Linked DNA regions of Neodiprion lecontei. Each later gene encodes a partner of the first gene's protein in a complex. Links are inferred from orthologs where the notes say so. Each region holds a gene or a part of one and is shown on either strand. Other genes may lie near its edges.

What was found. The genes of interacting proteins can lie anywhere in the genome.
Region 2: the proteins of serrate RNA effector molecule homolog (region 1) and nuclear cap-binding protein subunit 2 are in contact, whole or in part, in a cryo-EM structure (PDB 8PMP), measured with the Homo sapiens proteins. The link is inferred for Neodiprion lecontei from reciprocal best matches to the Homo sapiens genes SRRT and NCBP2. Residues at the interface, in NP_056992.4 of Homo sapiens: Asp857, Arg859, Ala860, Ile861, Val862, Glu863, Tyr864, Arg865, Ala869, Asp874; in NP_031388.2 of Homo sapiens: Ser48, Phe49, Tyr50, Thr51, Thr52, Glu53, Gln55, Lys67, Met71, Leu73, Met76, Lys77, Lys78, Thr79, Ala80, Tyr89, Asp107, Glu121.

Annotation. Positions count from the first base shown.
Region 1 is NC_060264.1:19,007,141-19,012,024, forward strand, and holds the start of serrate RNA effector molecule homolog, read left to right. Parts: upstream 1-1,876; 5' UTR 1,877-2,033; intron 2,034-2,451; 5' UTR 2,452-2,457; coding exon 2,458-2,582; intron 2,583-3,541; coding exon 3,542-3,802; intron 3,803-4,884. Other genes in the region: uncharacterized protein LOC124294542, read right to left, coding at 66-284, 423-530. UniProt on the Homo sapiens protein: Acts as a mediator between the cap-binding complex (CBC) and the primary microRNAs (miRNAs) processing machinery during cell proliferation.
Region 2 is NC_060261.1:34,859,710-34,863,912, reverse strand, and holds nuclear cap-binding protein subunit 2, read right to left. Parts: upstream 2,218-4,203; 5' UTR 2,064-2,217; coding exon 1,995-2,063; intron 1,912-1,994; coding exon 1,591-1,911; intron 1,417-1,590; coding exon 1,312-1,416; 3' UTR 1,266-1,311; exon of another isoform or gene 1,187-1,265; intron 991-1,186; exon of another isoform or gene 848-990; 3' UTR 544-847; downstream 1-543. Other genes in the region: ras-like GTP-binding protein RhoL, read left to right, coding at 1-104, 233-435; MICOS complex subunit MIC27, read left to right, coding at 3,158-3,172, 3,294-3,466, 3,742-3,887. UniProt on the Homo sapiens protein: Component of the cap-binding complex (CBC), which binds co-transcriptionally to the 5' cap of pre-mRNAs and is involved in various processes such as pre-mRNA splicing, translation regulation, nonsense-mediated mRNA decay, RNA-mediated gene silencing (RNAi) by microRNAs (miRNAs) and mRNA export.

The DNA of each region.
Region 1 (4,884 bases):
AAAAGAAATCACGAGTATGTACGCTACTATAACTTTATCCGTTGAACCAAATTTAGGGACTGTACCTCTGAACGTTTGATTACAAAAGCAGATGGTATAGCGCCAAGTTTTAACTTGTATCTACCACGTTCTATCCTGTGAATAGTTCCGTCAGGCATTTTAGTTTGATAACATTTTTCGACGTCGCTATCATGGAAGTGAAGTTCGCAAACTGAGTCATTTGCAGATAACGTTCGGTCATCGCGAGCCAAGGCGGCATTCCACTTGTTCCGCAGCTCTTCGCACTGTGATGTAGAAGAATATGTTTTTCGTTACAGAAAGTGATAAGTTCCTAATGTTTATGCAACGCAAATATATCATTTCCAAAATTTTTGAATAGCCCATAATTCATATATTGCTGAAGGAAACAAGCATTCGCTTACCCGTGGTGTACTAAACAAAGTTCTTCTCCTTTTTCCTCTAGAAGTGCTTTCTCTGTTTTCAGATGCGTAGCCACTCGAGCATCCGCGGACGAAACATTTTCGCGTCATTCTCGGTAACTCATATTAAAAACGCGCTCGTATAAACGTATATAAAAGCGAAAATATGTGCGACAGATGCTTACCAAACTTTCGTCACCTCCACTTTGTTTCCCTGCTGGTTAACTACTGTGGCCACATAGTGTATCGCAGTGCTGCCAGGCGAGGACAACGGCAACTATGTCCATTTTATCCCGTTTTTAGCTGGTTACACTGGGTGCCCACCGACTGCGATTTCCCTTGTTTTTAACTTAAGGCTGGGATTCCATGGGCAGGAAAAAGGAGCAGCAATAGCAGCAATTCACTAAAAGTTACCAGCACTTGCGGCGCAAGTTTTTGATGTTTGAAATTCATCATTAAACCAGCAAACGCAAGAAATTTTATGAGCAGAACTGCTGCTGCGTCAAATCACTAGACAGATATTAGTAACATCTAGTATTAGATACTAAACTGCTGCTTATTTCTGCCAATGAAATCCCAGCTTAATAGCAAAGGTAAAATTTAAACTGCACTTTGTGCGCACTGAGTGCGATTTACCCAGTTTTTGGCCAACAGAAAAACCGAAATCCTAGGGAAAATGAATTCATAGCGTTTTCCACTGGTTGCACTGAGTGTGAACTGAGAGCGCACTAACGGTAGACTCGTATTTCCAGCGTGTTCCACTGGCAGCTCGAGTGCGTGAATTTAGCACTGAATGCGTAAAATATTGCCCTGAATTGCAATTATGGCTGCCGATCGTGAAAGAGTCGAAGTAGATGCTGTGACAGCAACTCTTTTATTAGATCTAATTTAATCTTCGTCTAGCAGTGATGATGCCTGCTGGAGTCGAAAGATAGAGGAGAGATTCCCAAAATTTTTAACTTCATAGGAGTAATCCACAGCATGTCCGATATCGAAGTATGGATACACATTTTTTCAGCTTCTAGAAGTTAACTGCTAGGTATATTTCAGGAAATTGGGACAACTTGACTTGCTGCTTATTAATTTTTATATTTTCAAGTCAAGTCAAGTAACGTCACATTATTTCTGATTTGATATGATCCCATTGATAGACAATTCATCTTACGCTATGTCTAAAAATCCCTAGAACTCGGTTAGCAAGTTTGTTACCAAATTCACCCGAAGAAGAGAACCGAACACCGAAAAAGGGTTGTAGCCGTGCCCTTGACACTCACCACTGCTCGTATACTAAAAAATTGTACGCGTTTTGTCCCCATTTTTTAGTTCCGCTACCTGGCGCTAATAGACTTCTGATACGCACGCTGCCCTCGTTGACTGCGCGCAAGCCGTCAGACAACTACTAGCGCCACTAGTGGTGGAGATTGGCGGCAGAATCGAGGGACATTTTGCGAACCACTTTTAGCAGCTTGTGTAAGGGGCTGGTTGTAGCCCACTGAAACTACTTACATCTCAGTGTTGTAGCCACCCAAAGCGAAGAGCCGCGGGAGGATAAATCGTGTGTGTCGTGTTGAGTGCTACGCCGTGAAGCCGGTTGTTTAATCCGCGATCGTTCAGGTAATTGTACTATGCTTTTATTTTGTACAAGTATACATTTCGCATGACAAAAATCCGGCCACAGAACTGAAACGTCGAGCATAACCTCCCAATAACGCGTCAATCAAGTCTCCGTACCGCTGTCCAAGCCAACGAGAGTACGCGTCGTCATTTAGCGTATCACAAATTAACGACAGTCGAATTTCGCGACGAGTTTGTGTCTATCGGAGATCATTCGTATCGTACTGATCTCGTTTTCTGTCCCCGAAAGCTTTCACCTTATCTGGACGCCTCTTACAATAATCTATATTATTATTATTGTTATCGTGGATCTTGCGCTGTATTAGTTTTCTACGACTGTACGAGTTGAGAATAGTAAACAATGGTCTCTATTATTAATCTGGGCACTTTGTTGAATCGATCGTTTACAAAATTACAGATCATAATGGCAGATTCTGATGACGAGTACGATAGAAAGAGGAGGGACAAATTCAGAGGCGAAAGAACCGAGTCATACTCCAGAGAAGGAAGACGTGGCGATGATCGTCGCCGAGATGAGTGGGTTGACAGGTACGTGCAAATCTTTTACTCTAAGTGAAGTTCTTTTAGGTTCAGCTCTGCGAAGACAATTTCAGATGCTTCATTAAAAACACTGTCCAAGCAGCAGTCCAGGCATTAACAACATTTTTGTAACAACAGATTTGCTAGAAAATATAATATATTGCAACAGCAGTATTGTCTGAAATTTGGTAAACTGTAACGAAGTTATACCATACCCTTAATTTATATTTTGGAAACTGAATTTATTCGAAATAGTTCCAAAGATGCAGATGCCTGATTTTTCTTAAATGTTTCATCACATTATCGTTACTAAGTTCAAGGTCATTAATAAATCTAAATAGATGAGAGAACAATCCCGTATGCTGAATAATTTATATGTCGAATCAAGGATTAATTACTTGGGTTGTTTAAATGAAATTTCGGAAAAGAGTTAAAACTGTTTAGAAGATATTGTGTTCACTATCAATTGCCCAAATAATACTGCGGAGGATCTTCTAAACTACTTTTCCTTTCTTTCCTTTGTTCCTAAATTTTCGATTCAGACGGTGGAACCCATTGACCCTTAACATTGTGCTTTTATCAATTTAGATTTTGTATCGTGTATGCTACAAATCTCTCGTCTATAGGTTTTATAAGAAACCTGTAACAATCAGAGAGTTTAGCATGATAAAAAAAAATGTAACAACCCTTAGCTTCAAAATGAAGTTTGAAGGAGTTGAATTTCAAAGATACAAATTTGCCAAAACAGTATGATATGCAGATTTTCTGGATTTCAGACACTTCAGAAAGTTAATAGACAACGAGTATTTTTGATATTCCGCCATTACGATAACTTCGCAAATTTTAACGTCATACTCAATTGTATTCATTAATTCTTCCTCTTCTATCAAGCCTTGCACTTGTATTTTCAAGACAACATTTTATACCAAATGCACCCTTGTATTAAAAATTTTGATTTCTGTTCCCAGGGAATGGTCGAGTCGTCCAAGAGCGAGGCCCGAGTACCGTGAGTATCGAGGTGGCGGGGGAGGCGGAGGTCGAGAGCGATACAGCCCAGCTCGATCCCAGGAAATGGCTCCGCCGATGAAGCGGATGCGGGCTGACTGGGAAGACCGTCCGCGTTACGGGGGCCACGATTATTATGGTGGCGGAACTTCCTGGGGTCCAGATCATTACACGCCGGCACACCATAGCAACCATCACTACGGCAACCATTCAAACAACAACAGGTGAGCTTGTCTGTTTTTTCTCTTCAAATGCCCATTGTTACTTTTATCACAAATAGCTGCATCTGCTAACGATCGATGAGAATAAGGTTCCGTGGTCATTTTATTTTGTCATTTACATTAATTATTGTCTCGCTGTAATTAACCATGAAGAGATTATATGACGATAATAGAGTTTTGTCCGCTCTTATTTCGCACGGCATGTTGCCAAAGCGCAGCAGATTCACGCCTAGACTTTTGGCCAGGATGAGGTAGGTATTCATTATTTTTTCTTGATATTACGCAAAATTGTTGGAGTTTGTAGCTCTAACAATGAAGATTTTTGAAAACCTCGAAGTTGTTGAGATTTCTTAAGCTTTCCTTTGACTTAATAAACACTTAAATGTTGAGCGAATACAATGAAGGGATAGAATAAGTCTTGAATTTGACAATGATGTACAGAAGAAGTGGCGTTCATGGTTAAAATTTTGAAAATAATCCTAACCAAGAATGCTGCATTTAAAACGTAGTGATTATTTGCAGTGTTAATATAAAAAAAAAAATTGAGGTATAGTGTGGATGTATATGGATATTAACAATCGAATAAACTTGAGAAAAGTGCGCATTGACGTTGAAGTTTTTCTAAAAATAGTGATCAAAAGCGACGATGCCCGATCTAACATTCTTGGCGTGCATGTACACGAGTTGTGGCCCCCTCGTACTCAAATAAGTTCAAAGCACAAACGATATAAACACTTTAGACCGCAGACGATAACACACGATCCACGTTATGTTTGCATACAGGATTGCCGCTTTTGGCGCTGTCAAAAGCACTACACATATCAAGGATATACTCCGTTCCATGAGAAAAAATTGTTTTTTTTATACTTATTGTTATTGTGTAGCAAATTTCATTACGTATTTGTGCAACTGAGAAATATTTCAACATTAATTTTAATTTTAAACTCTGGTAAATAAATAACACCCCGAGGATTTTCGTTTAATTTACAAAGTTGCACGGGAGCCACCTTAAATAAAATCTTTCTGAATCCTCAGAATCCATTTCAATGAAAAATCAATCAAAATTGTTTTAAAACGTTTGAATA
Region 2 (4,203 bases), on another chromosome or scaffold:
CCTGTGCTTTTCGATAAGTGCGCGCAGTTCGTACGAAAACGTAGCCAGCAAATGGTATCCGGAAATCAAGCACCACTGTCCCAACGTGCCAATTGTCCTTGTCGGTAAGTGTGTAATAAATATTTCAAGTATTCAATATTCCACATTATGCTGCTACGAGTGATGTGTGTTTGCCAACAACTGATCAGACTTTAGATTCCACTTAAAACTATTTATCATATATCTTGGATAGGCACTAAGGGTGACCTGAGGAACAGGGAGGACACGGATGTAATAACACCGGCAGAATGTAAGAAGATGAAGAAGAGAATCAAGGCCTACAAATACGTCGAATGTTCGGCAATAAAGTCAGAGGGACTGGAAGAGGTATTTGTAGAGGGGATTAGATCCGTGCTGAAAAAACCGGCACCGCGGAGACTGTGCGGTATTCTTTGAAACGGAATACAAGCACAATCGTATACATCACATATATTCACGCGGTACTTTGAAAATTGTTGATGTTACGGGGCTACCCGTCAATAAGAAACGATAAGATTATTGTTATTAATTTTAGCATTACTATTATTATTATTATTTTAACCGGTGCCTACCATTAATAACATTAATATTATGATTGGACAAGTTATATCGCCGAAGCTTCATTTCTGATACTAAAAGACGCGAAAAGAACGAATTATAACCAAAGAATCCCTCTCGAGTCCTGCCGTGTACATACATATATATATATACAGTATTGTTCAGAGTATAAGCGGTCCCCGAATTCTGCGACAGTATTTCAGGATGTTTTTCTTGATTACACGCACAGAAGACTGGTCCGCGTATTAGACGACGACGATTTTGGCGGCTGCTGTCAACGACAAAAAAACCTCGGCTTATATCCAGAACAATACGATATGCATATATAATTGTAATGTATAATGTGCGAATATACGTGTGTCTTTTCTGTACAAAATATAATAATTAATAAAAAAAAAAATCTTCAACTGTCAACCAAAGTTGTATCGCGCGTGTACGTTATACATATTAAATATAATATCCGTAGGAATAAAGTTTTTTTACGTGCATATTGTGGGTGTGAAAACCTTTCTTCCATTTGTCACGAAACATGAATCATTTAATGACTTACACAAATATAAATAAATGAAATAAGGAGAACCAGATAGAATAACTCTTTCGCACACGAAAGTTCTTTGTCACCCCAAATCTTTGTATATTCATCACAATATGCCTGTAGTTGTCAATGAATAGAATTAAACAATACGCACATCACCGATCATGATCAAATGTGATTGTCATCCATAAGTGTGTACTTCATCGACCAAATGCCCCATCCACAACGGGTGTTACTTTTTGTTGGATTATTTTTCCATAGCCACCTCTGCCACCGTCAAAGTCGGATCTGTACTCGTCTCTGACCTGGTAATTAGATGAAAATTATCAATCATTATAGTAACTCACGCAACATGTTAAAGTATCAACTTGAATCTTAAAATCAATTCAAACTATTAGATAAGTTTCCTGACTGGCAGAATTAGTCGGTGCCCCGTATTCAAGTTCCCCGATATTCAGGTATAGAATAAAGTATCTTACCTGACCACCTGTCTTTCCTCGACCATACTGTCTGCCTTCGATGAACCCAGCGTCCCAATCCGTACGTATAATTCTATCGTCTAAACGGGTCCCATTAACATATCGCATACAGTTTTCCGCATCGGGTCTCAAATAGTACTCGACGAAGCAAAATCCACATGGAGTTTTTTTGTACTTATCCAGTCCCATAATAATTCGTCTAATGTCTCCGCACTTTGAAAATAGTTCATATATCTGCTCCTCTGTAGTGTAAAACGAGAGATTACCAATGTACAGAGTCGTCGAGTTCCTTAATAATCGGTCCTGTTCAACTCGAGATCCCTAAAGGAGGAGTAATAATGTTTTTTAACACGTCGAATGTTATTGAACAGGTTATGTTAGCGTAGAGTGATCGAAGTACGAACCTTAAAGTGCTGGTCACGATAAGAGCTGAGGTCAACCGACGGTGAAATTGGACTGGTCGATAGTGCCATCGCTTTATCCTCGTACCGTGAATTTGGTAATCAACTTTTGTAGTATCCCAATGTGTTTATTCGACCAGAAAAGTCAAATGCGCCGTCAAACTCCGACATACGTGCGTTTATGGCGTTTACGCTGCGTTCCGACGTTTTGCTCGATAGGAACGCGGACGGTGGACCGCGAGCCGAGCGGAAAGCTGGAAACGGACTGCGACGAACCCGCCATATTTGAACGACCCAACCCGAAATTCAACCTGAAAACGCAACAAATCCAAATGGTAAATTATTAGTTTGATATGTAAGACGTGAGCGAAAGATTAAGAACCAATATAACGGAGGATGAAGGACATTGTGCACAGTATTTTGGAAAAAACGGTTGGCAATATTTTTGGTAAAGACATAACTTGTCGAGAGCCGGTCGATCGTTGCGACGACTACCAACCAGGAACTTTGGTCGAATTTGGCCGAACCGGCGTTAAAGTACGTATCTTTATCACGTCATTTTTAAGACCCATTTCAGCGATGCTGTGCGCATGGATCGTCCATGAGTTCAATGTCGGTATTGAGGAAAAGATAAGATAATTCTTCAAGATGCAGGACGATGTATAACGGGTATGCAATAGTTGTACAAGCGCACAACATGTGGCTAATAATTGACGGAAAGAGACGACGTAAAAGAAAAGGAATAACGAACAAGTCGAGAGTTGTAAAAACAAGGTCAATTGTTTTTTCCATCTTCACTTGCATGCGTGATTGACACTGCGAAGAGGGAAAATGTTTTTACCGTTAATTATACACACATAGCGTTAATAGCATCGAAAAACATCCGTTTCAAATTCTCGTTACCTCGCATATTCGCATTTCACAACCGTTGGTATCGTGCATATCCGAATCGCAGCTTGTTGTGAAATTTTTTCCCAACATCACGCGGACATTAAATTTAAACAATCGGGTCCGCGTTCCGCCCGTTCCGCTCGTTCCGGTCAAGAATATTCTTCGTCGATTACGTCACGTGAATGTCTGCTGGTACAGCTGACTGACCAGTGACACTCTTGATAGGTTATCCGACCTTTCGGTATAAGTAGAAGAGAAATAATCCGTCGACCAACATGCACGGAATCAAGGTAAATATTGCGTGACGGAGTAGAAAGACATTTAATTTCAAATTTTGATATCAATTTTATCAGTACTCCGATTTCCAATTCTATTTTAAATTCATATTTTTAACAATTGTTGTTACTTAAGTTTTTCAAGAAATTCCTGATGCCTTGTGGGCTGTGCGCAGCGACACCGATCGTCAAGCCGGCCCCTCCTCCGTCAAATTGTCCAACGCCTTGCGAACTAGACGAAAAGAAGTTGATTCGCCCCTCCGAGTTGCCGATATATACGCTTGGCTCACCGTCAAAAGTGGACCAATGGTAAAGCAAGTAATTGATCAACGCTCAGAATTGTTTTCAGTCAAGCCTGCAATTGATGCTTGGATATCTGACTCGACGTCCCTCAGAGCAAACGAACCCAGTAAGGCATCCTTTCGATCGCGTCCCCCTTTATCCCGCACTTCATAACATTGGTTCAGCCATAAAATGTGTGAATTATTTCAGCACAAGTATCAGCAGTATTAGACATAATTTTTCTTAGGTTGCTTACATTATCGAGAGTCATGATGTTCTAAACTAGACATGCATTGTTTCAGCCCCACACCTGTCAATTGTGAGCCGTCGTACTTGGAACAGGGTTTTGGCACGATCAGGAAGTCCTTGTCTGGTGTTTTCACGCAGTATCAACATATTACCGAATCTATTACAGACAAAATAGATACAGGAGTTGCACACAGTGAATGTAAGTCGATGTACTTATTCGTATCACTGTAAACAACGGAAATTCAAATTTGAAGCAGAACATCACTGCCGTAGGTCCTTAGCATCTGCTAGACTCGCAATCAAACGTTATTTGTTCATATTCCAGCTACTCCAATTTGTAAGAAAATAAATGACGAAGAAAAAATTTTCCATATGATACCCGTCGTGTCTGGTTAATAAGGACTTTTATAATGGATCCAGACAAAGTTCGACATGTACAGTATAAAAAAATGTTGCTCAAAGATGCAAGGAGCATACCAGGTTCGACCCATGATGAATTGCACGAAACAATTTTT